4 linked regions of the Tamandua tetradactyla genome follow. The protein of the gene in region 2 interacts with the protein of the main gene of each other region in a pairwise test. Links are inferred from orthologs where the notes say so. Each region holds a gene or a part of one and is shown on either strand. Other genes may lie near its edges. The genes, in order: DMRTB1, RBPMS, FBXL18 and FOXP3.

Region 1 (7,512 bases), on a different chromosome or scaffold from region 2:
TTAGATAAGTGATGCCTATCATGTGCCCCAAGGACTCCCTCCATGATCTAACGGCTACCTATCTCTCCACCTCCTCTCTCCCCAGTCTCCCAACTTTGCTGTATGACAGCCATGCTGCAGGCCTTCAAACATGTTCTTTCTGCCCCAGACATACTTCTCCTGCTTCTGTAGCTAGCTAATTCCTACTCTTCCTCTGGGCCTCAGCTTAGCAATCAGTCCCTCTGGGAGTCTTCCTTGGTCTCTCAAACCTGGTTAGAGCCTCCATATTGGCTCTGAAAGCATCCTGGGCTCCTTGCCACTCCACCATTCCCCCTGCTTTCATCATACTGAAATTATTGTTTACTGTCTGTATTGACAGCTAGAATGTATGCCTAAAGGCAAGTATGTTGGTTTGAAAGGATTATGTACCCCACAAAAGCCATGTTTTAATCCTGATTTATCTTGGGGAGGCAGCTGTTTCTTTTAATCCCTATTCAGCACTGCATGTGATTAGATTATCTCCGCAAAGATGTGACCCACCCAATTGTAGGTGGTAACCTTTGATTAGAAGATTTCCATGGAGGTGTGTCTCCACCCACTGAAGATGAGGTTGCTTACTGGAGCCCTTTAAGATGGAACGATTTTGGAAAAACCTTTAGAGCAACAGACCCATGAGAACCAAGGGAGCCCACGCAGCCAGAGATCTTCAGAGATGAAGAAAGAAAATGCCCCTGGGGAAGCTTCAGGAAACAAGAAGCCTGGAGAGAAAGCTAGCAGAAGTCGCCATGTTCACCATGTGCCTTTCAACTGAGGGAGAAACCCTGAATGTCATCGGCTTTCTTGAACCAAGGTATCTTTCTCTAGATATCTTAATTTGAATATTTGTATAGACTTGCTTTAATTGGGACATTTTCACTGCCTTAGAACTATAAACTTAAAACTTAATAAATTCTCCCTTATAAAAGCTGTTCTGTTTCTGGTATATTGCATACTGGCAGCTTACAAACTAGAACAGCAAGGATCCTCTTTTTTTTTTTTTTTTTTTTTAAATTTACTTCCCTGTCCTTTATCCTTAGTCCACAGCTGGCACTCAATACATATTGGCTATGGGTGGAGTAAAGCAGTGGAATATCCTAGGAAGTTTCCCCAAGTTGCTACCACCTTCAACTACTTTTGCCTCAATTGTAATGAGTTTAGACTAAGATGAACACTTCTACTCATCACCAAAGCTTTCTTGGGGAGAGCACTTGTTTAGAAGAAATATTTGGTTAGCAAATATCTGGTTAAGAGCGTGAACTTTAAGGTCAGATTTCCTGGTTTTGAATCTGTCACTTACTGGCTGTGAAATCTTGGGCAAGTTACTCAACTTCTCTAGGCCTCAGTTTCTTCATGTGCAAAACAAAGGCAATACTGTGGTAACTACCTTAAAGAGTATGAAAATTATAAAAATTACTATACATAAAGAACTTAAGAATTCCTGGCACCAATAAATACTTTTACTATTATTACACCACTAGGGATATAAGGGTGTGGGGTGAGCTCAAGGAATCAAAGTTGATACCCCAATCTTGTTATGTTAGGAAAGAGGTCACTGTGGGCTCTCTATTTTGCTGAACACTAGTATAATGTTTGGGGAAAACTGCTGAAACCAAGCTGATTTACTGTGCAAATTAGGGAGGAGATAACTTTGGCTTCGGCAGAAGAGGGAGGCAGGATTTATTTGTATATGCAACAAATATTTAATGAATTTCCACTATGGGCTAGGCAAGGTTTTTCCTCCTTACTCTGGGGCACCAATGATTGATTCATCTGACCTCTGCTAGGAATTTTAAACAGACGAGGAACAAAGAAAAATAAGATAGCAACAGCCTTAATCCCCAGAAAGCTGACAAAAATCAAGAAAGGCCAGAGGAGTCAGCAATGCTGGGCACTGCGTTTCAGGGGAAGGACAGATCAATATATCTTCACTGGGTATGGCACAGCAGAGGAGGGTTTTGAGATAACAGAAATGCTAATGCAGGATTTCAAAGCATCTACTATGGTATGTGTAATGTAAATCCTCTCCCATCTCCTTTACAAAATCTTCATTAAAGTTTTCATGCTCACAATATATGTATGGGTTATAGCTGCTGGGGGAGGGATACTATAGACAAAAGAGCCCTTCCTTACTCCTACTGTGCTACCAGTAGGGAAACATTACAATGCATGCAATATTTAATGATTATAGATGATACCCATGTACACTGTGTAATACAAGGCTCTTTAAAATGAATGAATTAACAATACCAAAAGTACTCATATTAACTGATGTGAAGAGGAATTATATAGGAAACTTGGAAACTTTTTCCCAAGGGAAAAGGGAGCCATACCTGAAGTTGGGAGCCAGATATGATCACTACCCCAGACTCTCTAGCAAACCGGTGATTTCTCAGCAACTGTAATCTGTCCTTTTATAAATGACTGTCTGTAATTCAGATTTTCTTAAAACATAAATGTTTTAAGATTTAGGTGTGGAGAAGGAAGGGGTCTACTGTGTGCTTTCTGCTCCCATGTTTTTCTGACTTCCAGTTTTCCACTTTTACATCATGTTCCCATCTTTTAAATAACAACAAATGTATATATTAAAAACAAAAAGCAACATCTCATTTCATCATCAGCCTCAGTTATCAAACCAAATAAAACAAAACTATCAATTTTCCTGAATTTCCAGGAGTGAAATAAATAAAGCTCTGCTGGAATTTACCTACACAAATTGAGACTTTGGGGGGGAATAAAGAAATAATCTTTTTTCTTTTCTTAGATTTGTTTACAATATCAACCCTGGGGTTTCTGCATCTTATTATGTGACTACTGATTAAAAAGATATTATGTTGTTTATTAATGTTCTCAAAGCACTATGCCAATTCACATCAACTTGGGTGTATTTTGCCCCTAAAGCTATGAAGTAAATATGGAAGCATTTTGTAGTTAACAAGACTATAAAATATGTTAATTCAAATACTTTGCTTTAAATGGGATTTTTCTTTTTTTTGAACAGGATTTTTCTTTAAATCATTAATGAGAAAATGAAGAAAGCTTGGATAGTCGAGCATGAAATGTAAATGAGAGTAGTTATTTTTTAAAGTATCATCATCTGATATCACAATTTAAATTTGATATTGCACAAAATGATCTTATAATCTGCAGTATCATGAAACTATGCAGCTTATGCCCCAGATTTTTTGGTGGCAGTACTGAAGCCAAGATTTTAAGTAACATTTTCAAATGACTAGATCAGTGAAAAACTTAAGACATTCTGAACTGGGTGAAATAAAAAAAAAGTGCTTGCCTGCTTTTTACCTATGGGGCCATATATATATATAATATATGCATATATATATTAACCACAACTACCTCCTTAAATAATTATATGACTGACCCTGTCACCTAGGCACTGATGGCCCCTTTCTCTTGTTCTCTTTTTTAAACCTAAACAACAACAACAAAAGACCTCAGAGTGTCACTTTTCAGGTATCCTGAGATTTGGATTGGTTTACAGAGATCACTAAATTCAAGGCAAAACTAAACCAGGATTCAAGTTAGTAGAATATCCCGAGACTATATTACTTTAAGATGTCCTAAGAATGTTTTACTTTGGAAGGCATCAACACAGCAATATCCTACCTTCCAGAAATGCATCCCTGTACCAGCAAGACTCTTTTAAGAACTGGGAATTACCCTGGAGCAATCATCACACAGCACCGAGCTCTTGAGAATATTCTGGAAGCATCACACTGTGACCGGTTGCTTCTCTGCAGGGGAGAGAAATGAAATTCAGCAGAAGCAGCAGCTTTTGGGAGGTGATACACGGTTTTCCTGTGAGAATGCTTTTCTACTGGAATGGGTTTACAGAGCACTACATTCCTCTGGAGTTTTAAATCTGTGGACCGTTGAATATGACTCCGCCTTATTTGAAGTTGCAAAATACCTTCTATCTGGGGTGGCGGGAATCAGAACTTTGGAAAATTAAATGTCTGAGACTTCAGACAACCCAGATGGCGTGCATGCAATAGCATTCCATGAAAAACGTATTCAGCCCAACCTTTGCACCTAATTACCCAAGGCGCAGAGATTCAGGGACTCTCCAAATTTTGCATCCCCCCCAAAAGGGAGGGCAATTGCAAGGGTCTTGCTGCAGTTCCCGGGACGTACCACCAGCCGCTTTGTTACAAGTGTATCCAATGTCCCCAGCACCAAGGACTTCTGGGGCGCCGCTCATCCTTGCTCCACTCGCTCTGCAGCTACCGTCTGGGGAGGTTGTACAAGCAGACCCTACCAAGCAGGCCGACAAGATGCTGCGTACCCCGAAGTGCTCCCGATGCCGGAACCATGGCTTCCTGGTGCCGGTCAAGGGCCATGCAGGCAAATGCCGCTGGAAGCAGTGCCTTTGCGAGAAGTGCTATCTGATCACCGAGCGCCAGAAGATAATGGCGGCGCAGAAGGTGCTCAAGAAGGAGACGTCTGAGGAGGAGCAGATAGCCCTGGGCGCGCAGGGGCCGGAGCTTGCCTCCAGGGCCATGGTCGCCGTCCCCGGATCAAGCCTCTGCCCGCTGCCACCGCCCTCCGCTGCGAGAAATGCAGAGCCCGGCCCTCCGGCCGCCCGCTTCCTTGAAAGGCCCCCGCCGGGCCCGAGCCCAGGCCCCAGCGCCTTCCAGCCGGTTCTGGGAGGCCGCGGCCACGTGAGGCCGAATGAAGGAGTCGGGGCGGCGATGCAGGGTTCTGTGGGACCCCAGTTCGAAGCGGAGGCCGCGGGCAGGGGATACCCTGGTCAACTGGAGATGCCAAGGCTGCTGAGGCCCGTTTCCAGCCCACCATTCGCCGATTTCGGTAAGATTCCCAGGCCCCGTGCAGGCATGCCCCACCGCCAGTTCCTTTCCAGGCTGTAGTTTCCCTGCTCCGGGAGCTCCCAGGCCCGCCCGGAACCGCCAATGTAGGCAGTTGGGGGGGGAAAGTGGGGAAAAGAGGTAGCCTTTGCTTTGACAAATCTTTCTCTGAACAGGGCTTGGGTTGGTGCCTTTTTGCAAAAAGAAAAAAAGAGAAAGGAATGAGTGGTCCACAGGACTTTTAACGTTTAGCGACAGTTTTTGCCTTTCCATCTTGCAAGAAAAAAATGGCTACCACGCCAGCTTAGCTGTGACTCCTCGGTGGGGACGTCCTGTGGAGACCAGTCCGACTGCGCTTGCGCACCTCTTCCCGCCTTTTTCTTGGACTGGCTGCTCCTCCCCCAGAGCGTTTCAGCCGGTGGGCAGGCTCAATTCTGGCTGCTCCTGCGCAACCTTTTGTAGTTTGGAGACTCTGCCCTGAAGATCTGTCCTTAGCAGGGCCCTGGTATAACGCACCTGCACCTGCGCACCCCTTGCTGCTCTTTTCTAGGCCTTGCGAGTCCTTCCACCCCGCCTATTACTCTGTGGGTGGACCTGCGCCTGCGCACCCACCCCTCCTACTGGTGGGCTGAGGTTCCTCCCAGAAGACTGCCCGACAAAAAAAAAAAGCATTCTGGCCTGATGCGCCTGCGCACCCATTCCCTCCATTTTCTTGGGCGGGAGTGAGAAAAGGTTTTACCCGCGGCCCCCTACATCCACTGGAGAGGAGCAGTTGGTTTACTGAGAAGTTACTGTCTTTAATTTTTTTGTCCCTCACCCTTGCATAAATTACATTATTACTGATATCTTACAGCATTCAGTATTAAAGTATAATTTCAAGTCACTTATAGATTTGAGGCTTTCAGAACAGGTTCTTTTTTTAAAAATATTTTGATTGATAAACAACATACAAACATAAGCATTCTTAACATACAAACATTCCATACACCTACAGTCAATGGCTCACAATATCATCACATAGTTGTATATTCAACACCATGATCATTTCTTAAAATATTTGCATCACTCTGGAAAAAGAAAGAAAAAACTCATACATACCATACCCCTTACCCCTCCCTCTCGCTGACTGCTAGTATTTCCATCTATTCAATTTATTTTAACATTTGTTCCCCCTATTATTTTTAATCCATTATTTCTTACTCATCTGTCCATACCATAGATACAAGGAGTGTCAGACACAAGATTTTCACAATCACACAGTCACACTGTGAAAGCTATATCATTATACAATCATCTTCAAGAAACATGGCTACTGGAACACAGCTCTATAGTTTCAGGTACTTCCCTCCAGCCTCTTTAATACACCTTGAACCAAAAAGGTGATATCTGCCTAATGCATAAGAATAACCTCCAGGATAACCTCTCGATTCTGATATCTCTCAGCCACTGACACTTTATTTTGTCTCATTTCTCTGTCCCTTTTGGTCGAGAAGGTTTTCTCAATCCCTTGATGCTGAGTCCCAGCTCATTCTTGGATTTCAGAACTGGTTCTTTTTAGTGTGGATATGTTTTCTCGGTATCTTACCTATAGCAACATGGTTGAAAAGCACAGGTCTGAGTCCAGAGGCTGGGGTGGGGGGTGGTTGGAGAGGAAGGCTGCTCAACTTTGAGCAGACTGCTTCTTTCTATGCCATTCTCTCCTCTCTGTATCTCCCTACTGAGACTGGTCTGGATACTCTTTGAAGGCCATTTCTGTCTTCTGGGGCATTCTAGGAAAATCGAGGTTTCCCAAGAAACCAGCTGTCTGATGGGGAAGATAGACCTGAAACAGCAGTTATAGGAGAAGGCTGCCTTCCCAGGGTCACAGTCTCAACAGACACTAATGATGAAGAAAGAAGCAACATTCTCTGCACTCAAGGATCTTGTAGTCCTAGTGGGAGGGACAGCATGTAATCAAAGAATCATGCAAATAAATGCATGAAGCTATAATAACTGATGATTTAACTGAGGTCTGAAGGAAGAATAGGACTTGATGAGCACACAAGGAGGCAAAGTGGAGCTACGGTATAAGGCCTTCCAAGCCCAGGGAACAGCATCTGCAAAGGCCTTGCGATGAATGAGGTTACAGTTTATGATACGGCTGGAGTGGAGGCAGGAACCAGACCCCATGGTGCTGCACAGACTGTGCTAAGAACTTTTTCTAAGAGTGGTTGGACATAGTTGTGGAGTTTTAAGAGGAGCAAGGTTCATAGACGTAATGGATTTGGGAGTTCTTTGCAAATGCATATGAATGTTTATTACACTGCTATCCTTGGTTGGACAGTAATGTGATGCTCTTTTCCCCAGCTCTGTATTTCTAATGCTTCCCTATTGCTTGCCTTCTTCAGGCCACCCTCTGAATGTCTCTCCTGATGGTGTGGTAGGGCCTGGGTATCTGAGAGAGAGAGAACCTTCCAAGCTGTATCCCAGTTGCTCCAGCATGCACTCCTACCACCCATTCCCACCGGGTTACCAGGATGCATCCCCAGCCCCAGGGACACCCCTGCAACGGGGCTTCCGGCATGTGTCCTGCAGTCAGCAGCCTGAAGGAAGCTTGGTGAGTTCCCATCCCTGCCTCTTTTCCAGGCTCCTCCTTATCCCAATCGCCCTTAGTAGCTTTATGGATCCTCAA
Region 2 (8,256 bases):
ATCTCATGTAATTATAGTCTACTGTTTAGTTAAATGTCCGCCACCAGGTAAGTTCAGTCACCTTTTCTCCAACCTGCAATAACAAGACTTCACTAATAGAATCCTCAAGTCTCTTCCAGCTTCCACCTGACTTCAAAGCCATTCCCATATGTTTTATATTTGTTAGATCAGGACCCCACTTCTAGATACCAAATTATGTGTCAGTTATATATTGCTATATAATAAACCTCCCCAAAACTCAGTGGTTTAAGACAAAGCATTTACATTTTGCTAACAATTTTGCAATTTGGGTAGGGCCCCAGTGAAGGCAGCTCATCTCTCTTCTATGTGGCATCGGCTGGGCAGCTCAACTGGGGTTGGAGCAGCTACTTCCAAGACAAGGCTGGCAAACTGGTGCTGGCTATCCACGGAGAGCTCAGCTGGGGCTGTAAGCCAGGGACCGCCTTGTGGGACCTCCCTAGGTGGCCACTTGGGCTTTCTCAAATAATTGGAGAGAAGTGACTGGATCTCAGAACTATTTAGGAGGTAGAATCAGGAGGCAAGACGATAGCCTGAAGGTGGGCTGAGGTGTCAGGGATGACAAAAACAATAACACAGTCTCGGAACTCAAGAACCTTTTTGGTCCAGTAGAAATGAACAGACCATCATGACACGTGGTAGATACTGCAGCTTTCTGCTGCATGTTTAAGAGGTCCAAAGCTGATGCCACAGAAACAACCTCAAAACAGACTTTTAATGTCCGCAATTCCCAGAGACAAACATTTAAGACATAATTATAGGTTGGAACTTCTTAAAGCAAACCTCAAAAATGAACACTGCCAGAGCAACTGGGATGAGTAATAAAAACTACAGGTGTACACAGTATTTCCTTTTCAATCAAGCATTTAACCTCGTGGGCCAAATGGCAACGTGGTAAGGTGGTGGGCAGGGGAGGAAGCAGAGGTTTCCTGTTCATTACCCCATGTTGTTTCTAGGACTTATATCCCATTTGCTGTCTTAGAATTCTTTGTATACCAAGAAACTATTGCTACTGAGAAGCTCTCACTTTTTTTCTTTTAAGTAGTAAACAGGTCATAAAGACCATTTATATCCTGATTGAATGCATATTATTTTCTCCAGAGTCAAACTCCCTTCATTCCCAAAGTTTTATAAATAGCAAAAGTCTGTTTACAGATTCTCAGTGGGTCTTGTTTGATAATACAACATTGCTCAATTGTTCTTTCAAACAGGTCTAAACAGTTCTTTACAAAATGGTCAGAAAACAGAAATCTCTCTTTTTCACAGCATATAACCCGAACCTTACGCACTTTTCTGGGAACACCTTGAATTTCGCTCTTACCATTAAGTATTTCCTAGGTCTTCCTCCTTTACTGTCGATACAGCAGTGTAATTACATTTTTTATTTCTTGAAATCTCATCAGTTGTCCCATTCTGCACAAGTTCTTAATTTAGGGTCTGTCCCTTGAAAAAGGATGACTGAAGACCACTGCCATGATGCCCCTTTGGGCTGTTCAAGATGCCACCACTAATTCAGCCCTTCCCACAGGGTCTTAGAAAGACTTGATGTCATTTGAGCCAGGGAGTCAATAACTGATAAGATTTAATGTGCTCATTTGTTCAAAAATAATTACTGAGTGTCATGTGAGTGTTAGGCACTGTCTAGATCTTTGGTACATAATGATGAACAAGCCAGACAAGGGTCCTCTCGTGGAATTTATTTTCCTTTTTTATCCCTGGGGTTTTTGACTTCTAACAATGGACAAAGTCTCAACTTGGCTTCAAGACAAAGAATCAAGTTTTTACTTTTGGAATCAAGCCACATTTCCCTGGGCAGGGGCAGGGGCAGGGAAGGTCCCCCCAGCATCCTGGACTCACACAACATACTCCACCTTCTCATAAGTGGGGTCTGACTGGAACCATCAGTGACCAGATCAATGGCCACTTTTCTTGGGCCTTTGCCAGATGCCAACAAGACAATGCCTTTCTGTGGTGTGTCTTCAGCAGCAGGCTGGGATAGCCAAGGAGGGCAAACTGCTGGCATTCCTAGCAAGCATAGGGGTCCAAGACCACCACTCATTCGTTGCTCAGGAAGACACTGCCCCCAGGTGGTGACCTCATACAACTGAGGGAGTATTAGCAGTGGAAAGGGCTTTGCCAAGGTGTACTATCCATATACTGGCCAATACAAGGAGAACCAAGAGTTACCAAGTTTTGGGAGGAACTGTAGCCCTTGACTCTTCTGGATTCTTAAGTCACCACTTCAATAGACAGTTGGTTTATTTTCAGCCAGGATATATTTTTGTTCCCATAGACAGGAAAGATATTATGACAGCAATTAAAGAAAAGTATTTTTTTTTCTACAGTAAGCTTCTTTATCAAAAGCTTCGGACCTCCAAATAAATCCCAATTTAGGTCCAAGTACCACTTTACTGTTTTTCTCTTCATAATAGTCATAATGCAAATATTTTTTCACTTTGCTTTCTGCAATTTGAACCAGAATTCTGAGATTGTGTTGATGGGAAATAGTTTTGGGTAGCTTGTCTCCACAACACCACTAACTCCCTGGGGCAGGGGCCTTATCTTCAACCCCCACCTCCACACCCAGCCCACTCCCTGCAGCTCTTAAACCAGCGCAGAGTAAAGAATGTCTGGTGAGGGGAGAAAGAGATAAAGTTAAACAAGCAAATAATTAGAAATTGTGATTGGTGCTGGGAGGGAACAGGAGGCTGTGAGAGAGAATTCCTGGGGATCAGGAAGTGGAGGAGAACCTACCAATATGGGGTTTTCCATTTTTATGCTCCTAGCAGTCGAGTTTGAAAGCTTAAAGGATCCATTATTGGAGAAGCTCTCTTTGGCCCAGTAGTAACAAGTGCAATTTTCTTAATGTTAGCTTCCACCTACGGTTGGACTTAAACTAGGCAAGAAGGGGTGCTACATGCTATCTCTGTATCTATCCATCCATTATCTCCTTTTATCTGCAAAACCCTGGGAGATAAACCTCAGCATTCCCCTTTTACAGACGAGGAAACAGTTCGTGCTTACTTCCCAGAACACTGAGGCCCCTTTCTTTATACTTACTTTGAGCCTTTTAAAGATCATCTGTAGTGTCTCCAGTTCTGCTAGCGGTGAGGAATATTCACTTAGCCAACAAATATTTATTGAGTGCTTACTATGTACTAAGTCGTGTATTTAAATAGTCACGGGATTAAAAAGATAAACAGGGCATGGTCTTTGTCTTCCAGGAAGGATCTCCCAAAAGAGCAAGGGAGAAAGCCAGGTAAACAAATAATTCCAGAACAGTCTGATAAGGGCTAAGAGAAAGGGGTCTCCGCGAGGGCCCTGGGAAATCCGGCGCAAAGCCACAGTCGGTGCGGGGAGGCAGGCGAGACTTCCGAGAACCCGCGCAGGAGGTAGGTTTCAAGTTAGGGTGGGAAAAAGCAGGCTCTGGGCAGGCTCTCCCCGGGTCTCTTGAGTTACTTCACCCCGTCATTTCAATCTGCCGGTTCAGAGGGGGAAGAAGCTATGTCTGAACTAGTACAAAAAAGAGGAGGGGTAAACTTAGGGAGAGGGGTGCAAAGCCCTCCTGAAAAGGAAGCCAACAAAAGTAACCCATTACAGCTCCGGGTCCCCGCACCGGCAGGGGCCTGGCTCCCCGAAGCCCCTCTGCACGCTCACGTGCCCCCACACGCGACTTCTCCAACTCAGGCCCGGCTCGGACACCCGGGGCCCTCGGAGCCGACTTAGGTTGGGGGGACCCGGACCTTCTCCCCTCTCCCGCCCTTGCCTTCATCCTCGGACCTACCGCGAAGTCGGGGGCTTCCGCCCCGCGTCCCCTCCCCGGAGCGCGCCATCCGGCCGCTGGGCAGCCGCTCTCGGCGCAGCCCCTCCTCCCGCAAGGGGGCTTCGCCGGCCCGGGTCCCGTCCCTCAGGGCCGAAGGCTGCAGCCCACGTCCAGGGAGGGCGGAGGGAGGAGGAAGGGAGGCGGGGTGGGGTGGGGTGGGGTGGGGGGAAGAGAGGAGGGAGGAAGGCCAGAGAAAGGGAGCTGCCTGGATCTCATACTTCCCAGAGCCTGCCTGGAGCGCGCACTCAGCGGCTCTCGCGGCCCCAGCGTCCCCGTCGCGGCCCGAGCCCCGCTGCCCGGCACCTCCTCCTCCTCCTCCTCCACCTCCTCCTCCTCCTCCTCCACCTCTTCCTCTCTGGGGACCCTTCGTTCCCCCCCCCCCCCCCCCACCTCCGACTTTTCGCTCCAGCGGCTGCTAGGCTCGGGCAGTGGCAGCCCAACTCGGCCACATCCCCAACTCTCTGGGCTCACTCCCGGGACGCGCGTCCTCGCCCCATCCTTTCTTCCTTCCTTCCTTCCCTCGCGCCCGCCCTCCCTCTCCAGGTCTTTCTCCCGGGTCGCGATTGTCTCCGTTCCCTTCTCCGGCTGCCTGCGCCCTCGCCCTGCCCAGTCTCTCCCGCGCACTTCCTGAGGCGCCCGCCGCCGCTGTCCCGGCTCCAGCCCCTGCAGCCCGCGGCGCCCCGCCCGAGGGAGCCCCGGCGCCCGGGGAAGGGAAGAGCGGGCGAGCGCGCCCTCGCCCAGCCCCGCGCCCCAGCCCTGCCCCGCGAGCCAGGACCGGGAAGATGAACAACGGCGGCAAAGCCGAGAAGGAGAACACCCCGAGCGAGGCCAACCTTCAGGAGGAAGAGGTACCGAATGGTTCGGTGCGGTGGTGGGTGCGACCGGGGATGGAAGCCGCCGGCTCTTTCCAAAGTGCGGGCGGCCGGGAGGGAGAAGCCGGCGGGGCGCGGGCTCTGGTCCTGGGGCGCAGGCGTGTGTGTGTGTGTGTGCGCGCGCGTGTGCGTGTATGTGTGTGAAGACGGGAGTTTGGGGCTTGACCTTGCCCCTAGAGATAACCCCAAATTTGGCCCCGGGAGGGTGTATCTTTTGTGTGTCTGCGCGCGTCTGCATGCCTAAAATTGCGTAACTCCGAGCATTTTTGGAGACTTTTCTAAGTATAATGCTCAGCTTTGTTTGCCCGCGATCTTAAAAGAGGAATCGAGAGGTGACTCTTGGGTGACCTCAGATTATTGGGACCCGGAAGGTTAGAACTGAGGCTGAGGCGCTGTGTGTGTGTGTGTGTGTGTGTGTGTGTGTGATTTAAGGGAGAAACTCTGGGAACTCTTCTGTCCCCAGCCCTTTCAAAGTTAAAAGTTCTGGGTAAAGAACTTTTTCTTTACCAAAAAACTGAAGCATTTTGGATTAATAGATAACATCCGCCGCATTCTTCTCTGATCCGCGGCATTCTCCTCTGATGAGTCAAAGACCCCGAAAGTGGGCGATAAGCTTTAGCAAGTTTGGGGGCGATGCCGAGGTAGGGAGCAGAATAAAAGGGTTAAAAATTTTACCGTTCACCAAATGACCATCGAGGCTGTATTTACAGCACTTTGACTTTTGAACATAAACTTTATTGGTGCGTCCGAAAAAACCATAAAAATGTTTTGGCTGCGGAGCGTTTCTTTGGTGTAAACACAGAAGTCAGTAAACGTAGGGGGCGGCCCATGAGAAAACTTTTCAGAATTTTGCAGTTAGGATATTTGCTGGTATCCTATCAGATGACTCCATTCCTGCAGGTACCGTATCTGCAGTTCAAGATCTTATATAATTGAGTTCTTAAACATTCTATAGTGTGTGCAGATATCTAGATATAACCCATAAAGCATTCCTATAGGTTTTGCATTCTAATATAATAAATTAAACATGGAATGGTAAACTTATTCTAAAGCGGTTAGGAATCAGATTGCTTCGATACCGTGTTGTGTGCAAATGAAAATTCTAACAGTGAAACCGAACATTAGAGAGTAATTCATTAATAAATTTAAGCGCATTGTCCATTTGTAATATGGGAACTATTTAAACCTGGAAGATAGAGGAGAGAAACAAGGACCATGCAAAAAATGCAAAATAAATATAAGATTTTACGCTTATTTGCTGTGTTTTAGTGTAACCTAAGTGAATTGAATGAAGACAAAAGTTGCCTTCTCACCTAAGGGTATTATCTGTTGTATTACAAACTATTATCTTGAAAAGTGTTTACATATTGTTGTTTCATAATTACAAAGAAAGTAATACTACTGGTATTTCTTTTCTTTCTCAAAGAGGTGGAGACTTGAACTGCAGATTCCACTTTTTTCTTCATCCTTGCTGGCTGCTTTGCTATTTATTTTTCCTTACCACTTATAATTTTAAAATGATGGCAAGTTTACTCTTTTAGGGATTGCTGTATTGATCTAATACACTCAACTTCTCAAAATGACAATTGCTTCAGAAACCTTTCTATTTCAGTTAGATTGGCAGTCTGTCTACTTATAAGAGTAAGAACATATTGTTTGAAATCATCTTGATCCGTTCACCCCATCGAGAAAACTCATAAATTGGAAGAAGTCAATCAGGCAAACTGAAGTTTGGTTTTTTTTTTGTTTTTTTTTTGCTTTTGGTATGTGGCTCAAGAGGTTGGAGTGTCCTGGAACCACAAGTCCGAGAAAAGTCACATTTTTCTTTCTGCTTGACCCACTCGACTGAAGCACGCCAAAAAGGGAGGTGTTGCCTGCCTTGCACTTGGGACTCTCTGGCTAGAGTTCGCCAGGCTGTTGAATGAGTATATTCCCAGGCCCTCGCGGTGGACGTCACTGTGCAGTGGACCTGACTCTGTCCCTTCCAGGTGGGAATGACATGTGGCTCTAGAAAATGCCAGTGTTTTGTTTTAGTTTTTAAGAAAAATACTCTTTTTTAAGAAAAAAAAAAAAAAAAAAAAAAAAAAACAGGAGGACCGTCAAGAAAATTTCAGAATCCAACTTGACCGAGAGGTGGGTGTCACCTAACAGATAACACTGTGAAGAGAGGGTCTGTATAGTGTTAGCAATTCAGGAAAAGAAAAGAGATTGGTCCAAAAGATCCAGGTAATTTGGCATCAGTTCCCTGGTTTGGGTTTATGTTTTGTTTTTGGACAACTCCTAACCTCTTTTTTTTCTAACCCTGAAAACCGCAAAGTAAAATAAATATGATTTTTGGTGAGTCCCACTCATGTGCTCAACATTGTATAAAACCACGGCACTGGACCCTTTTCTGCCTGCCCAGCAAATCAGCAATTCCTCCCCAAACATGTTTAAAGCTTTGGCTTTAAACAGCGCACACATGTACAATGCGTATATACAATAACATGAGGAAAAATGTGTTTTCTGAACTGTTATAGAAAAGTGAGTCCGATCATCATTAACATAGTTTATTTATCATTAGGGTGGTTTAGGATTTCTACTCTATTATATGTTTTTAAAATATTTTTTAAGTGAGTTCCATTTATCATCCTGTATATTTTAGCCCTATATGAGAGCCTCTAATGCTTATTCTGAACCAATGATGCTGAAACACCTACCTGGTTCCAGTTGTATAGAATGAACAGAATAAGATTTATGATAATTTCTATAGTTTTTTAGGGTTGGAAGTTTTTGAGAACTTGGACAGTTCAGGTACTTCCACTTTGGATAACACTTAAAACTATGAGGAAAAATGATTCTAAGATTTGGCTAGCCAGCTGTGTAAGGGAGATAATTTTCTGCTTGGCTTTCTGGTTTTAGTGTATTATACATATGTATTCCTATAAAGTTGTTCCTATAAAGAAAAACCAGTTGTTGAGGTTTTAATGGATGCTGAGATTTATAAGGCCTATGTATATATATGTATGTATATGGCATCATTTTTTACATCATTTTGCAATTAATAAAATTCTAGAATTTGCCTTTAATTTTGGAACAGACAACATTCTCTTAAAACACCTTTGGCAGTTTGCACTCAATCAGACTATTACAATTTTAAAAAATGTAAATATGGGTCATAGTTATTTGTCTTATGTAACCAGTTATCATAAGTCTTAATACATTCAAATATAGTGAGACTTTATCTAGTAGAAAGAAATAATTTACTTATTGGTCAGTGAATTTTTCAAACAAATTTCCTTTTTCGAAATCTTATAAATATGTACATTTCAGGCTGACTACAAATCATTTCTAAAAGGCATTTTATTATGTTGAAGCACTGTTAGAGTAGTTTCTCCTTAAATCACTTTTACCAAACTGACTTGTGCTTAAAACAAAACTGAAATAGCAAAATCTTGGCACTGCTGGAATATCAATCGGAAAGATGTTTGGCAGATGTTGGACAGAAATCACGTAAAGTCAGTTCTTAAGAGGTTAACACAAATCTTTACTTTACATTCCTCC
Region 3 (7,506 bases), on a different chromosome or scaffold from region 2:
TAGAACTGTAAACTAGCAACTCATTAAATCACCTTTTAAAAGCCATTCCGTTTCTGGTATATTGCATTCTGGCAGCTGGCAAACTAGAACACCTGCCCTCAGGGAACTTACAGGCCTGTTCAACTCGGAGCCACTGGCCATAAGGCCTATTTATTTGTTTAAATATTTTTATTATAAACAACGAACATACAAACATTCTTGTCATGGTTACAATCAGTGGCTCACAATAGCATCACATAGTTGTATATTCATCAGCATGATCATTTTTTTGAACATTTGCATCTCTCCAGCAAAAGAAAGATAAAAGGAAAAAACTCATACGTGGTATACCCTTGACCCCTCCCTCTCATTGACCACTAGTATTTCAATCCACTCAATTTATTTTAACCTTTGTTCCTCCTATTATTTTATTCCTTATCCATATGTTTTATTCATCTGTCCATACCGTAGATCAAAGGAACATCAGACACAAGGTTTTCACAATCACACAGTCACTTTGTGAAAGCTATATCATCATACAATCATCTTCAAGAAACATGGCTACTGGCCATAAGGGCTATCTAAATTTAAATTAATTAAAATTAGGAATTCAGTTCTGCAGTTGCACCGGCCACACTTTGAGCGCCTAATAGCCTCGTGGGCCAGTGGCTAACGCATTGGACAGCACAGACATGGAACAGTTCCATCACTCTAGAATGTTCCATTTGGCAGTGCTGGCCTAGTGGGAAACCCAAGAAATGATACCAAGGCTATTTAGTTATACACTGTGATAAATGCCACGAAGGAATATTCTCAGGGACTGTGGCAGATGACAAGATGTGCTATGACCTGGTCTGGGGGGAGGGATGGCTTTCTGCAAAAGTGATATTGGGGGCGGGCCACGGTGGCTCAGCAGGTAAGAATGCTTGCCTGCTAAGCCTGAGGACCTGGGTTCGATTCCCGGTGCCTGCCCATGTAAAAAAAATCAAGATTTAAAAAAAAAAAAAAAGTGATATTGGGAAGATAAAGAGAAATTAGCTAAGGGTGGGGTTGTTGCTTCAAGCATAGTACGTGCAAATGCCCTGCACACAGAGTGGAAGTACCTTCAGGAGAACAGTCTGTGGCTCTGGGGCATGGAGGCCACCCCAAGTTGGGCCCGGTTAGCTGTGCTGGGGACTTGGGCTTCACTCCGAGAGCAGTGGGAAGGGAGTCAGAGAGTCTTGAGCAGAGGTCTGATATGGTCAGGTATGCCTTTTTCAAAGGTCCTTGTGGATTTAATGGCGGCAGTGGGGAGCTTAAGAGAAGGTGAATGTTCCTTCAAAGACACTGGCACAAGAAGAGCTCTCCTAGGAGGTTTGGAGGCTCCATCCACAGGACCTGCAGCTTGCCCTGTTCCAGCCTGGACCCCTTTCCCCAGGCTGCCCCTCGCCTCGGCCTCCTAACACCCAAGTGAGGGTTTCTCCTCCCTCCTGAAGTGGAGAATTCCTGGGTGGCATCGTCACGGGTATTGGAGAAGAGAGGCAGCTCACCTTCCAGCTCTACTACTCACCTGGATCTGTGTCGTCCTTTGCATGATGGGGACAATAAAAGGACACACCTACCCCATGGGAGCTTGGAGACATTTTGAGCAGGAGCTCACGTGACCGTGCTGGCAACAAAATAGGGGTTTGGGATGGTAGCGGTTATTACTGACATCAGGAAAGTCGCTTTTCCCCAGACCCTGCCTCTCGATGAAATGGATGGAGCAGAGTCCAGCAGCCAGCATCCTCATCATTTCCAGCCTCTACCCCAGATCCCAGGGGACCCACTTGGCCCAGTCCTCAGTTCTGGTCATGGATTTTTTTTTTTTTTTTGACATGGGCAAGTACCAAGAATCAAACCCAGGTCTCCGGCATGGCAGGAGAGAATTCTGCCACTGAGCCACCATTGCACTGTCCTGGCCTCGGATTCTTGTCCTCCACCTGGGCCAGCCAGGAGCTGCAGGAATGAGGAAGCATCACCCACAACCGACCCCCACCCCCGAAGGGTCCATGAGAGGGTAGGAACAGCGAGGCCGTGGAACCCACTCCCCACCCCCATCTCCTCCAGTGCAGTGGTTCCCAACTTAAGTGTTCCTAAGAATTGGGGCCACATGTCACATAAGGGACTCCTTCCTCACTGGAACTAATAATAATCAGTGATAACAGCTCCCCTTTATTGAATCCCTCCTCTGTGCTGGGCACTTTTTGGTATTACCTCATTTTACCAATCACTCATTCAACAAGTATTTACCATGGGCCTGCTATGCTAAGCACAGTTTTAGTGGGGAGGCGGAAAATACAGAAGCCAATTCAAGTAAATATCATGAAAATCGGGGGCAAGGGGACTTTGGTAGATTTTTTTTTAACTTGAAAAAGATTTAAGAAAGGGTGGGCCACGGTGGCTGAGCAGGCAGGATTCTCGCCTGCCATGCCAGAGCCCCGGGTTTGATTCCAAGTGCCTACCCATGCAAAAAAAAAATTTAAGAAAATACCAAGTAAATGCAATGAATAAATCCTTCTTGGACCTCCTTTATTTGCCTAAACAAACTGTAAACGGATTTTTGACATTTGGGAAAATTTTAATTTCTCTTAAGTATTAGATGATATTAAGGAATCTTTAATGTTGATAAGTATGATAAATGCTTTGTAATTATATAAGAAATTGTGTTTTTTTGAGATGTATATTAAAGAATCTGGAGGTGAAAGTACACTTGAAATTTGCTCAAAAATACTCCCCACCCCACCCCCCCAAAAGATTAAAGGTGGGGAGGAGTAGATATAATTTGAGTCGCAAAATATTGCTGGTTGTTGAAGATGGATGATAACGGGTAGGTACATGGTAGGTACTTTTGCGTATGTTTGGAAATTTCCACAATTAAAAAAAAATCTCTTAAAAAAAACACACAAGTCAACAGCAGTAAATAAAAGTTTCTAACAGAGAGTATATGGGAAAAGAATGTGGTCCGAGAGGCTGAGCAAGAGAATGACAAGAAAGACCTGCTCCCAGGAGGTGACACTTGAGTTACAACCAGAATTAGCCAGGACTAGGGACAAAGCATTTCCCAATTAACAGGAACAGGTGCAACGGCAGGGGGAGAGGCTGCCAGGGATGGAGGGAGCCGGCAAAGGAGGAGACGCAGAGGCGCAGGAGGATGGGGGAGGCTCCGCTAGGGACTTGCCTGGGTCAGGGTTTGGGCTCTCTTGCTTGGGCTCCAGAAGTAAGCCTCCTTTAGTGCTCACTTTGGCTGCGCCTGAAATTGAACTTGATGCTTAAAACCATTTGAAGGCAGAGCTCATCAGAAGCCTCTCGGTGGGAATGACCGGCTTTTACGTGAGTCGAGCCCTGTGCTCGACTCTCTAACGTGGGAGGGAAATGAAGCTGAGGACGGCATGAGAGGAGACAAGCCTTAGGGTAGCCGGGATTCAAACTCAGTTCTTTCAAAGGAGCTTGTCCCACCAATTTTCGATATTGGGAAACATTTTTTTAAATGGAAGGGCTTAGGGGTGAGAGCCTATCGTTTATCCATTCATTCACCCAGCAAATATTCATTCAGTGCCTCCTACATGCCAGGGAGAGTTCTAGCTAATGGGGGTCCTGCCTGGCTTACATTTTACTGGGGGCAGGGCAAAAAAAAAAAAGATGCAGTAGGTCAGATTGAGCTAGGAGAGAAATAACCGGCCGAGGGCATACTGCGGTGCACGGAGGGTGGGGAGGAGGTGCTGCTAGTTCAGACAGGGCGGCCGGGAAAGCCTCTCCGGCAGGGGGCCCCGGCAGGCAGGGGAGACAGCAAAAGCGAAAGGCGGGAGCGGGCTGGGCCTGCGCGAGGAGGCCACTGTGGCCGGAGAAAGGGAGGCACAGGGGTGACAGCTGAGGGCAGAGAGGGAGCCGGGACCACCCGGAGTCATTCGGGGCTCTTCGGGTTCACTGCGCTCCTTAAGCGAAGCCGCGGGGCCCCCTGTCCCTGGGCGGTGCCGCACCCAACATGGCGGCCGCGCCTGAGGCCGAGCGGAAGTGCGTAATCAAAGCGCCGGAAGTGGAGGTGGCCCCGCCCCTTGCCGGGGTCCCTGTGAAGCGGCGGACGCGCCGGCTTTGAGCATCTCTGGCCGGGGAGGCGGGAGGGCCTGGGACTGCAGCCCCGGCGGCCGCGGCACGGCACGCCCACGACATGGCCAGCTCCGGAGAGGTACGGCGCGCGCCTCTCTCCGGTTTCTTCCCCGCCTCGGCCACGCTCGGCCCTCACCATCCCGCCCCCGGACCCCTGTGCGTCCTTCCCAGCCTGACCCCCGCCGCGCTCCGTGCTATACCGGATCCCGGTCACGCTCCGTCTTTCCTTTCCCGACCCTGGACCCGCTCTGTTCTTCCCACCCCGAACTCTGGCCCCGGCCCTGCTTGATCCTTCTCACCCCGATCCTGGCGTCGGCCGGGATTGGTCATTGCTGCCCTGCCCTGGCCACGACCCCGCCCCTTCCTTCCCATCCCAAACCTGCTTTTGCCCCTCTCCAGGTCCTGACCGGTCACCCTGGCTCTGTCTCCAGAAGCACAAGGTCTCTCCCCTTTCGGTTTTCCGTTTCTCTACCAGCCCTCGATTCCTAATCGCCAGAGGCCCCCACCCCCACGACTCCGCCTCCCAAGTCTCCAGGACTCTGTAAACCTCCTAGACTCTTGCCCATGTCCCTGTGCCTTGGCTCAGGTCTCGCGACTCTGAGATTTGCCGCTTCCTACCCACTCCATCTTCTGTCTCGAATGCTCAGTTTCACTCCAGGTACTTCTCTCTGGAGCGCCCTGTTGTGTGACTTGGGGGTGATGAAGGAAAAGCTTCCTTATGCCGCTCTCTGTAAATCTGGGTCCGATGGAGAATCCAGATGCATCCCTGTAATGTGGGACGAGGTATTTCCTCTGCAGACGAGGGCTTAGGGACATCTGGAGTAGTCTCTTCCCCTTTTGGTGCCCCCTTCCTTCCTGTATGTGTACCTGTGTATATATCCGTGGCCTTCCAGGTGTCCCACTGTGGAGTGTACTTCCTAAGCCCCGGGGGCTTGCCTGTGTGCTGGAAATAGGACTACGAGGTTTCGAGTGTCTTCCTTAGAATTGATGGGCATGGGTGTGTGGCAGGCGGCTGGGAAGTGCTGGCAGGTACTCTTTGAAGTGAATTTTGCGCATAAGTGTCCCCTGTGGCTTCTTGGTTGAGACGGAAGGGTGAGGGGTTGACCTGCAGACTCATGACGGGATTGGAGAGCCACATGGCCTGGCGCCCTGAGGAAGAGTTCTGGGTGGCCTGGCTGTGTTAGCAGATTTAAGTTAGTTAGGTGTGTTTGGGGTGGGTCTTGACTCTCAGGCCCCACGTGGACAAACGAGGTCTGCCTCTTGTTGCATTGAGCCCTCTTGGGCTAAGAGAAGAGAAGAATGTGTGCTTTGCCCTGGTTGTGGAATCAGGGTCCCTTTTTCTGGAATGGCCTATTTATCTCTTGAGATAAAATTCATATGCCGTAAAATTCACCCTTTTAAAACTGCCATCCACTGGTTTTTATCATAGTTCACAAGGTTGAGCGATTATCCCCACCACCTAACTCCAAAATGGGGTGGTCTCGTTTCAGAAGTCATTGCTGACTTGAAAATGCAAATGCCCAGGACTCCTCCTGGGGTTTCTGAGGAAACCACGTGGTTAATAGCATTTCAGGTGATTCTGAAGCAGGGGTGGCGTGGACTCACCTCGTTCAGTGCCTCTCCCTCTTGGTCTTCACAAAATAGTTCCTGTCCAGGAACGGTTCCTGGTCTGCTGGATGAGATAAGCAGCATACTTTCACAATTTGTCCTGGGGGAGGGAGTGGACCTGCTGCCCCGGGGATCTAGGGAGGGCTTTACTAGGGAAGTAGCCTTTGAGCTGAGGTTCCAGGCCGCAGGCGTTTCCTCACGGGGCGTGTCTGGTGGAGGGAACAGCTTGTGCTGTTGGAGGTGTTTGTATCAGGGAACATTCCAGAAAATACTAACTAGATAAGCGAAGACCTAAGAAGAGGGACAGTGTCGAAAGAGTGGAGACCTCAAAATCATGTGTCCTTTCAGATTGCGCCTGTGATTAAAAAAAAAAAGTTATAGTGGAAAATTCCACATACTTGCAAAGGAATGATGTAACGCGCCTCTTTTTTGTGTACTCGTTGCCTACTTTCGGTAGTTATCCGTATGTGACCAATCTTGTTTCATCTTTGTCTCTTCTCTTCTCTCCCCTTTCCATTATTTAAAACACATTCCAGATATAGCATTTGTCTGGTAATGAATCCTGTGATTTCTTTGGGTGCCTGATTGGTAAATGGATCAGGACCCTTTCTACAAGAGTGTATTTTGGGGCAGATATTGGGGTTTCAGTTCATGTTCTGTATTTTGAAAAGTATTCTTTTAAGAAGCAGAGTTTAGTGAATAATAGCTGAACTCTGTAACCCACTACTCTTTAAGATACCCTCAGGTTGTCATCTGGTTCTAGCCAAATGGTTGACAGATTGGCCTGATAAGAATCACTTGAAACTATTAAAGGCATTTTTTCAGGGCCTGCACCTCAGCCCTGGATTGAAATTTCAGGGGACTCAAGAAAGTGCCTGGGTGTGAACTCGTTGGAAGCCCGGACAGTCCTTTTTTGGTGGTGGAGGGAAGGGTGGTTTCGGTTTCGGACGTTTTGACCCTGCCTCAGTCACTGCTTGTCCTTTGGCCTCAGATTACTTACATTTTTTTTTAAGAAGAGGGGTTGGTCTGCCTCAGTTTCCCTAGTGGCTGAGCACGTGTTGTCCTGAGAGATTGTACAAGTACCGGTTTGTGTGTGTGTGTGTGTCTAAGCATATTCTGGGCCGCTTAAAAAAAAATTATTTGAGGTGAAATTTACATTACTCAAAATTAACCATTTTAAAGTGAACAGTTCAGTGACATTTAGTATATTTGGAGTGTTATGCAACCACCACTTCTGTCTCCTTCCAAACCATTTCTTTCACTCTATAATAAAACTCTGCACCCCATAAGCAGCCACTCCCCATTCCCTCTTCCTTCAGCCCCTGACAATCACTAATCTGCTTCTGTTTCTGTGGTTTATCTTTTTGGATTTTTCATATCAGTGAAATATTTTTGTCTTTTTATGTCTGCTTATTTCACTCTAATGTCTGCCGGGTTAATCTGTGCTGTAGCATGGATCAGCCCTTCATCCCTTTGTATGGCTGCATAATATTCCACTGCATGTATAGATCCCATTTTACCTAACCATTCACCTGTTGATGGTCACTTGGGTTGTTTCCACCGTTTGGCTCTTGTGAATAGTGCTGCTGTGAACACTGGTGTGCAAGGGTCTGTTCTCAGTTCTTTTGGGTGAATCCCACCTGGATGTGAGATTGCTGGTCTGGGCTACATTTTATTTTACAAATTGGGAAACCGGGAGGCCCACACCCGCCCTTCCATGGACTCTTCTGGTGTGTTCTTGACTCTCCCTAACTTCCTCCTGCCCTGGGTGGAAGGTGCGTCAACCTGCAGAGG
Region 4 (7,870 bases), on a different chromosome or scaffold from region 2:
TACATCCCCATGATTGGACATGCTGTTAGGTTCTAAAGAACTTTAAATTTTTTAAAAAATTTATTAGCCATATTAAGTGCTTAACCCAGAGCCTGGTACATGATAAGCCTACAAACAATATTAGATAGTATTATCTATCTCTTTAATTGTCCTAGAATCTTAGGGTCTTTGAAGATGGTGACATTTCAAAGTGGGCAGGAAGGGTTTGGTGGGAACATGGACTGATTATTCAATAACGTTATGTTCCCCCTAATTATCCCAAAAATAATTTGCTAAACAATCCGCCCTCCACCATCCCCCAGCTTGAAATTGTCACATTCCTTACAAACTACATTCCCATTTGTCCGTGGGTCTGTGACCAAGCTCTCTATTCTGTTCCATTACTATAGTTGTCTGCTCTTGAACCAAAGTCACGCTGGTTGGTTGGTTGCTTTGCAATACAAGCCATGAACATACCTGGACCATCTTGCCGTTAATTATTTCAGGCAGCCTCAGTTCCTACAGACACAGACCAGCGATCATTCTTATTTGGGGCAATTTCTCTCCTCTCCTCTCCTCTCTTCTCTCCTCTTCTCCTCTCCTCCCTTCTCTTCTCTTCTCTCTCTTTCTCTGTCTCTATGTATCTCTTTGCCTCTGGGTATCTCTTTTTCTCTCTCTCTCCCATTCCCTCTCCCTGTCTCCACAGTTCTCCCTCCTTCCTTCTCTCTCTGTCACTGTCTCTGTCCCTCTATTTCTCTAAATATCTCTTGCTATCTCTCCCTCGTTCTCTTTCCCTGTCTCTCTCTGTGTATGTCTGTCTCTGCCACACGCTATTTCTCTCTGTTTCTCTTTCTTTCTTGTTCTTAGTACCTTTCTGTTTTCCCATGTCTGTCTATCCCTGCCTCTGTCTCTCTCTGTTTCTGTCTTACTTCATCTCAATGTATCCTTGTCTCTCAGCCCTGGATAGAGGAGTAGTTGTCGACTCAAAGCCCCATAGACACCTAATGACTCCCCCAGACTCAGACTGAAGGGATCCTGACCCTCACCTACCCCTAACCCTCTCCCCTCACCAGCATATAGAGGAACAAATTGAGGCCTGGAGCTGGGCGGAAGGCCTCTCCCAAGGCCTCCCAGAGGTTCAGTGGCAGAGTTGAGCCCAAGCCCACATCTTAGGAAATTCAGTGGGACCCTTCCGTTCTTCCTCACCGTGGGCCTCAGTTTATCCCTCAATGCACACGAGGGCAGTGAGGGACCCAAGCTGCCCCCAAATGCTGCCATCTTCCTCCCTGCCTTCTTGCAGGCTGGGCCCTGACCCAGGCCAGAGGAGCCATGGTTACCACATGGGGCACAGACTCAGAAGATCTGGGCTAGGTGGGGAGCCAGGTCCCAAGGGCCAGAAGCCAGGTGACCAGAGGGTGGTGATAATGGAGGAGCCGAAGTCAGTCAACCCATCTGCTGGTCTGGCTGTGGACAGAGTGCAGCCAGGTCCCCAGAGCTGGCAATCGTTCCTGGGGACCGCTTTCCCTTGGGCCCCTCCAGAGATTCTGGTTGTGGGGGTCAGTACTAGCAAAGGCCAGGGCTTTTACTCCTCAGATTCTGGTTGTGGGGGTCAGTACTAGCAAAGGCCAGGGCTTTTACTCCTCACATTATGAGGCATGGCCACCTCCAAGCTTCAAACCTTCAGCCTCTCCACAGCCCTGAGAATTGCCACAGATACACTGGTCCCAAAGCTGGTCACAGTGGTCAGATGGACATCACCCACTGCCTCCACTTCCCCCTTCCTGCCTCTCTCATCACTGGTGGGGTGGCTATGATGCTAGGAACACTGTCCCACAATGGGCAGGGAAACCAGGACCCTGTAACTATCATTTACCCACCAATCATCGACACTCTGCCAAGCCTTTCACATGCACTGACTTTGGAAGATGGGTAGGATTATGGTCAATTACTATTACATATGAGGAGCCTGCTGGAGAGTTAAAGCTAGTGAGGGGCAGAAACTGATCCCCAGCTGAGGGAAATGAGGGGGTGATTCTGACCATACTGCCTTCACAGAACTCACAAGGGAGGCTGAGAGGAGGCTCGCTGCAATTCCAGGCCTGATAGCTTCCCGTCCATCAGGGAGTTCCAATGAGTTTGGAAACCAGGGCCCCTGGCCTATACATACTGAGAAGCTAGCCCCATGGACCTCCCAGAGTCAGGGATTTTGAGATTCTTGAGTCCTTTGAATCTAAGAAATGACGTTTTAGTATTCTGAGGTTCTGGGGTTGTGCCATTTTGAAGACTCCCTAAGGTCCCAGTATCTATGGGGAAGGGACCTCCATGACACCGCACCTCACCTCAAGCTTCAAACCTTGAACTTCTCCAAGAAGCGCCACAGGCATTACAGGGCCCAGGGCTTGTCATAGCGGCCAGATGGACGTCACCGACCACATCCGCCAGCACCCAAGCCGGCTGAAGGATGGAACGGCCAATTCTCAGAACGAAACCCGTGGGGTGGGGTATCTGTCCCCTTCTCTTCCTCCTGCATGCCGATGAAGCCAGGCGCATCTGGCTGCCATGACGTCAATGGCGGAAAAATCGGGGGGAAGTTGGGGGCTGTGACGACAGGGCCCAGATGCAGACCCCGATACGAGAAGATGATCTGTGTCCCCAGAAACATCCCCCAGGCAGCTTCTGAGAAACCTACTCAGAAAGGGACGCCCCGACAGACAGTGCAGGAAGCCGGCTGGCCAGCCCAGCCCTCCGGGTACCCCACCAGACAGACCATATCCAGGTCCCATTTCTGAGAATGTGTCTATGCATGCCTACGTCGAGCCATTCCATATGTGTCGGGGGAGATTTCCTATAAAGTCCTGCCAAGCATAGGTCCGGGGAGCTTCAGAAGTGACCACAGGCCAGCCAGGTGGGCCAGGCCAGTGGGGGGTGAGAACACCTACTCATTCCTTCCTTCATTCACTCACCTCCTTATGGTCACCACTGTTCTCCCAGGCTCTGGTTCCAAGCCCCCATAGACTCAGGCTTCTGATTCTCACGAATGAATGTTCTAAACCCCCAAGAGTCCCAAGAGACCAAGAGCTCACACCCTCCTTGATGCATGGACTCAACACCCACTTCCCTTGGCACCACAACTCTGACAACCACGAGGTGACAGCAAAGAAAGGAAGGAGCAACTGCTCTCCCAGAACCTTCCTTGTACTCTCCCAGGTTGCTGTCAGCAGCTGTGTGCCCAACCCAGTGCTCCGGGGTGGGATGGGATGGTGGGTTTCACACACACAGAGAAGCTGGCTTGTGAGCTGCGCGCACACACACACAAACACACACAGGAACACTTTGTGGAGAAAGAAATGGAGGTCTTAAGTCACCGTGGGACTGCAGAATTCTTTGCACTCGGGTGTCCTGTTCAGTAAAATGGGGATTGGACCTGCAGTCCCTTTCAGCTCAGTTCTGACTTCCTCTCAGACTAGGATTCCACGATTCTGAGAAACGGGGGTCCTGTCTGTTGGAGAGTGTAAGGCTGCAAGGCTCAGCAGAGCGTCTTGGAGCCATTGTGGATGGCTTTCTGGGTGAGGACAATGACAGCAGACCTTTCCTGGCTTGGATAGAGGAGGAGGAGTGGACACAAAGGCTCAGGAGTAGGCTTGGGGAGCAGAGATCAGGGTAAACTCTGGAGCTGGGCTGGGGAGCTCCCACAGGTCCCAGTTCAGGAGATGGCCTCTCTCCCCCACCTCCCTTCTCTGGCACCTGGCTCCAGGCAGGTGGAAGTCCAGAGATTACCTAGCCTAACCCTGCCCTGAACAGCTGGACAAGTGCAACTGTCAGCTGCCCACTCGACACTTGCACTGCACATCTAATGCCAGAGTCATTGTATCCATCCACATCTACATCATCACCCTGCAAACCTGCCACCCCCTCTCACCCCTATCTCAGACCATTTCAGTCTGTCCTTCCAAGCTGCTAAGGCTAAAACCCAGAAGTCACCTTGACTCTCCCTTCCTCATCCCCCACATCCAAGCCATCTGCACATTAGGTTGACTCCACCTTTAAGATATCCCCAGAATATCCCACTTCTCACCATCCCAGTCTTCGCCACCATCACTGTTCACCTGCAATCTCACCATAGCCTCTTCACTGTCCCTCAGTTCCCGCCTTGGCCTTCCTACAGTTTGTCATCCTCACAGCAGTCAAATGAATCTTTGGAATCCACGCCCCACTCAATCCCAGCACATGCCCAAACCATGGAGATACAATGAGTTCAGGTGGCTGGGATGAGCTGCCCTGTGAAGGGGGCAGAGAGGACCAAAGGGCTAAGGCTTGAAGACAAGGTCTTAGTGGCAAAGGAAGGGCCTGAGACCTACTCTGACTGAGGCTCCAGGCACCACCTGAACCCCCTACTGCCCCTCAGAAGACACATCCAAACCATGTCTGTGGTAGCATATGTGAACGAGCCATAAGCTGGACCTGTGCATGTCTGTGCATGGAGTGTGTGGGGGTACACATGTGTACTTGCGATCCTGACATCCATCTGCACATGTGTGTGTGCATACATGACCAGAGCTGGGTTCAGCTGGGGGGTCTTCAGGACATGCCCAGTCAATGCCTGTTCTGCCCAGAGTGGGTGTCCACGTGGTTCAGGCGGTTGAGTATTTCATGCACTCCCCAGCACATGTTTAACTCATTCTCTCTATTTTTCCCTCTGCAGCCTGCCCTCAGACAAGGACCCAATGCCCAACCCCAAGCCAGCCAAGCCCTCGGCCCCTTCTTTGGCCCTCAGTCCATCCCCAGGACCCTCGCCCAGCTGGCGCGCTGCACCCAAGGTCTCAGACCTGCTGGGGGCCAGGGGTCTGGGGGGAACCTTCCAGGGCCGGGACCTCCGAGGTGGGACCCATGCCTCCTCCTCAACCTCGAACCTCATGCCACCTTCACAGCTGCAGGTGAGGCCCAGGGCTCAGGATGGGGCAGGCAGGGTGGGGTACCTGGGCCTATAGGTGCCGACCTTTACTGTGGCACTGGGCGGGGGGCCCAGCTGGGGCGCAGGAAGTGGTTTCTAGGTCCCAGGCAAGTCTGTGACTTATGCAGATGTCACGGGGCCAAGAAAGTCCCCATTTAGCAGGTCTCAGAGATTCAAGGCTCTCCACGACCTCCCAATCCCTGTTTCAGGAGAGGAGGAGGCCCTGTCATGATTCCGTGAGCACAGCCATGTGTCCCCATCCCCGTGTGACCGAGGAGAGGGCTGGGGCCAGAGGAGGTGAGGTGACAGGGTTGAGGCCAGCTCTGCCACCTATTAGCTTGGTGATCTTTAAAAAGTCACTCAATATCTCTAAGCCTCAGTTTCCACACATGTAAAGTGGGGATAATCACCGTACCTACCATGTGGGGTTGTGGGGAAGAGTATCTGAATTAGACAGGCAAAACAGTGAGAACAAGGGGCTCACCCACCTCCTTCTTCCCCCAGCTTCCCACAGTGCCCCTAGTCATGGTGGCACCCTCCGGTGCACGGCTGGGCTCCTCGCCCCACTTGCAGGCACTCCTCCAGGACAGGCCACACTACATGCATCAGGTACTGACCCCAAAACAGGCAAGGAGGAGGGGGCAGGTGGGTGAACTAAGTAAGGGGAGGGTCACCCCAAGCCAGGCTGAACCATGGCCTGTATGTGCCTCACAGCTCTCAACAGTGGATGCCCATGCCCGGACACCCGTGCTGCAGGTGCGCCCACTGGACAGCCCAGCCATGATCAGCCTCCCGCCACCAACTGCTGCCACCGGGGTCTTCTCCCTCAAGGCCCGGCCAGGTCTGCCACTGGTAACACCTCAACCCCCACCCCACAGCTTCACATTACCCCGAGTCCCCAAACCCTTGAACGTGAGCAAGGGAGGCTGTTCTGAAACACAGTCCCCAGGAGGTCAGAGGTGTCAAGTCTCAGAGTCTTGGAAACTCCAACCTCCCAAAAATGTCAGGCTCAGAACCTTAAAAGGTACAGAATGTCAAAATCACGGAACCGCAGATCTCTGCAAAGTTAGTCAAAATGTCAGCGCTTGCGAATGACAGTCTTTGAGCTGGTCTGTCAGAAGCCTTGGGATTTCAGGACAGCGGAGCCCCCTGGAAGTCAGGGCCTTCGAGGTGCAGGAGGGTGGGAGGCTCAAAATGAGAAGCCTTGTGGGTCGAGCGCCAGAGCCCAACCAACAATTCCTAGAGGTGCCTTGTCCCCACCCTCAGGGATCAACGTGGCCAGCCTGGAGTGGGTATCCAGGGAGCCGGCATTGTTGTGCACCTTCCCCAGCCCTGGCGTGCCCAGGAAGGACAGGTCAGTGCGTGGGGCTAGGTGAGACCCTTGCCCTGCTGCCCCCTCCCCCTGACACCCCCTCTCCCCCCAGTACCCTTTCAGCTGCACCCCAGGGTTCCTACTCTCTGCTGGCAAATGGCGTCTGCAAGTGGCCCGGATGCGAGAAGGTCTTCGAAGAGCCAGAGGACTTCCTCAAGTGAGTGGCCCCGCCCAGCCCCAGTCCAGCGGGAGGAGGAGCATCCTGGGTTGCGGGGCATCTCTGGGGTGCAGCTCAGGCCTCATCCCAATAGGCAGTAAGCCAAGGCAGGGAAGAGCTGAGACTCTAGGTTCAAATCCCAGCCCCATCATTCACTGGCTGTGTGGCCTTGGACAAGTTGTTTAGCTTTTCTGGACCTCAGTTTCCTCAACTCTATAATGAGCATAAGAACACAGGTGGGTACTGTGATTTACCTTCATTTTACAGACGGTGAAACTGAGACCAAAAGTTTAAGTGGCTTGACCAAGATCACCCCAGTTCCTGTGTGAGAGCTGGAATTTGAACCCAGGCAGCCTCGCTCCAGAATCCATGCTCCTAACTGCTTTGCCCTGCTATCCTTCATGCAGAGTCCCAGCTTCTCAAAATGGCTGTCACTACCCTCCTCTACTACACACACCACACACACACACACACACACACACACACAACACACACACACACAAAATCTTCTCCAACTATACCCAATTATTAGTGGCAATTCAATACTTCCTACTCCATTTCACCACCAGGCCTTTGCACAGGCTGTCCCCTCCGCTTGGCCCACTCTCAGCTCACCACCCTGCCAACAGCTTCTCCAGTACCCTGACCAAGCTCAAGTGGCAAGCTCTGGGCCTGGTACACGGTGGGTGCCGAGTGGCATGTGTTGAAGACATGACAGGTGTGAGAGGAAGACTAGAGTAGAGAGGAGTGAAGGGGCTGAGGTTCAGAGGAAAGTGCCCCCAGAGGGTCAGGGCCCACCCCACTCCACATGTTGAGCCAGGAGGCCAGGCCTGCCATGGTCATCTACCTGGAATCTTCCCCCAATCCAGGCACTGCCAGGCGGATCATCTCCTGGATGAGAAGGGCAGGGCGCAATGCCTCCTCCAGAGGGAAGTGGTGCAGTCTCTGGAGCAGCAGGTGACACTGGGGGTGGGGGTGGGGGGTAGTGAGTGAACTGTATGTCCATCCTGTGCCGGGAACCCAAGCTCACCCAGGAAAGGCTGGCATAAAGGTGGGGGGTGGACCAGGCCCAGGGAACACCACAGCCTGGGCAAAGATTTGGCAGAGAAAGGCTAGGTTGAGGCCTTAAGTGGATATCTGTCCTCACAGCTGGTACTGGAGAAGGAAAAGCTGGGTGCTATGCAGGCCCACCTGGCTGGGAAGATGGCGCTGACGAAGGCTCCCTCTGCGGTGAGTGACCTCAGGCCCACAGGCTGCACAGACTGACAGGGATGGCGGGGAGCGGGGGTGGGGGGCGGGGGGGTACCTGCAGGGGATCTATTCTTATGCCCAAGCCCTAGAGATCTAGGGGTCCCTGGCCCCAGCTCCAGACACACCCAGGCCTGGGGACCTGCCACCTGCCACTTACAAA

What was found.
Region 1: the proteins of RBPMS (region 2) and DMRTB1 interact in a two-hybrid assay, tested with the Homo sapiens proteins (2 studies listed by BioGRID). The link is inferred for Tamandua tetradactyla from reciprocal best matches to the Homo sapiens genes RBPMS and DMRTB1.
Region 3: the proteins of RBPMS (region 2) and FBXL18 interact in a two-hybrid assay, tested with the Homo sapiens proteins (2 studies listed by BioGRID). The two-hybrid records come from large-scale screens. The link is inferred for Tamandua tetradactyla from reciprocal best matches to the Homo sapiens genes RBPMS and FBXL18.
Region 4: the proteins of RBPMS (region 2) and FOXP3 interact in binary tests that used the Homo sapiens proteins (3 or more experiments, as listed by UniProt). The link is inferred for Tamandua tetradactyla from reciprocal best matches to the Homo sapiens genes RBPMS and FOXP3.

What each region holds. Positions count from the first base shown.
Region 1 is NC_135328.1:168,179,444-168,186,955, reverse strand, and holds the start of DMRTB1 (doublesex- and mab-3-related transcription factor B1), read left to right. Parts: upstream 1-4,169; 5' UTR 4,170-4,199; coding exon 4,200-4,845; intron 4,846-7,228; coding exon 7,229-7,437; intron 7,438-7,512.
Region 2 is NC_135352.1:13,318,777-13,327,032, reverse strand, and holds the start of RBPMS (RNA-binding protein with multiple splicing), read left to right. Parts: upstream 1-4,577; 5' UTR 4,578-4,623; coding exon 4,624-4,689; intron 4,690-8,256.
Region 3 is NC_135349.1:4,674,003-4,681,508, reverse strand, and holds the start of FBXL18 (F-box/LRR-repeat protein 18), read left to right. Parts: upstream 1-4,062; 5' UTR 4,063-4,165; coding exon 4,166-4,183; intron 4,184-7,506. UniProt on the Homo sapiens protein: Substrate-recognition component of the SCF (SKP1-CUL1-F-box protein)-type E3 ubiquitin ligase complex.
Region 4 is NC_135353.1:120,889,643-120,897,512, forward strand, and holds the start of FOXP3 (forkhead box protein P3), read left to right. Parts: upstream 1-4,683; 5' UTR 4,684-4,703; coding exon 4,704-4,913; intron 4,914-5,434; coding exon 5,435-5,539; intron 5,540-5,644; coding exon 5,645-5,780; intron 5,781-6,193; coding exon 6,194-6,284; intron 6,285-6,354; coding exon 6,355-6,459; intron 6,460-7,328; coding exon 7,329-7,416; intron 7,417-7,608; coding exon 7,609-7,689; intron 7,690-7,870. UniProt on the Homo sapiens protein: Transcriptional regulator which is crucial for the development and inhibitory function of regulatory T-cells (Treg).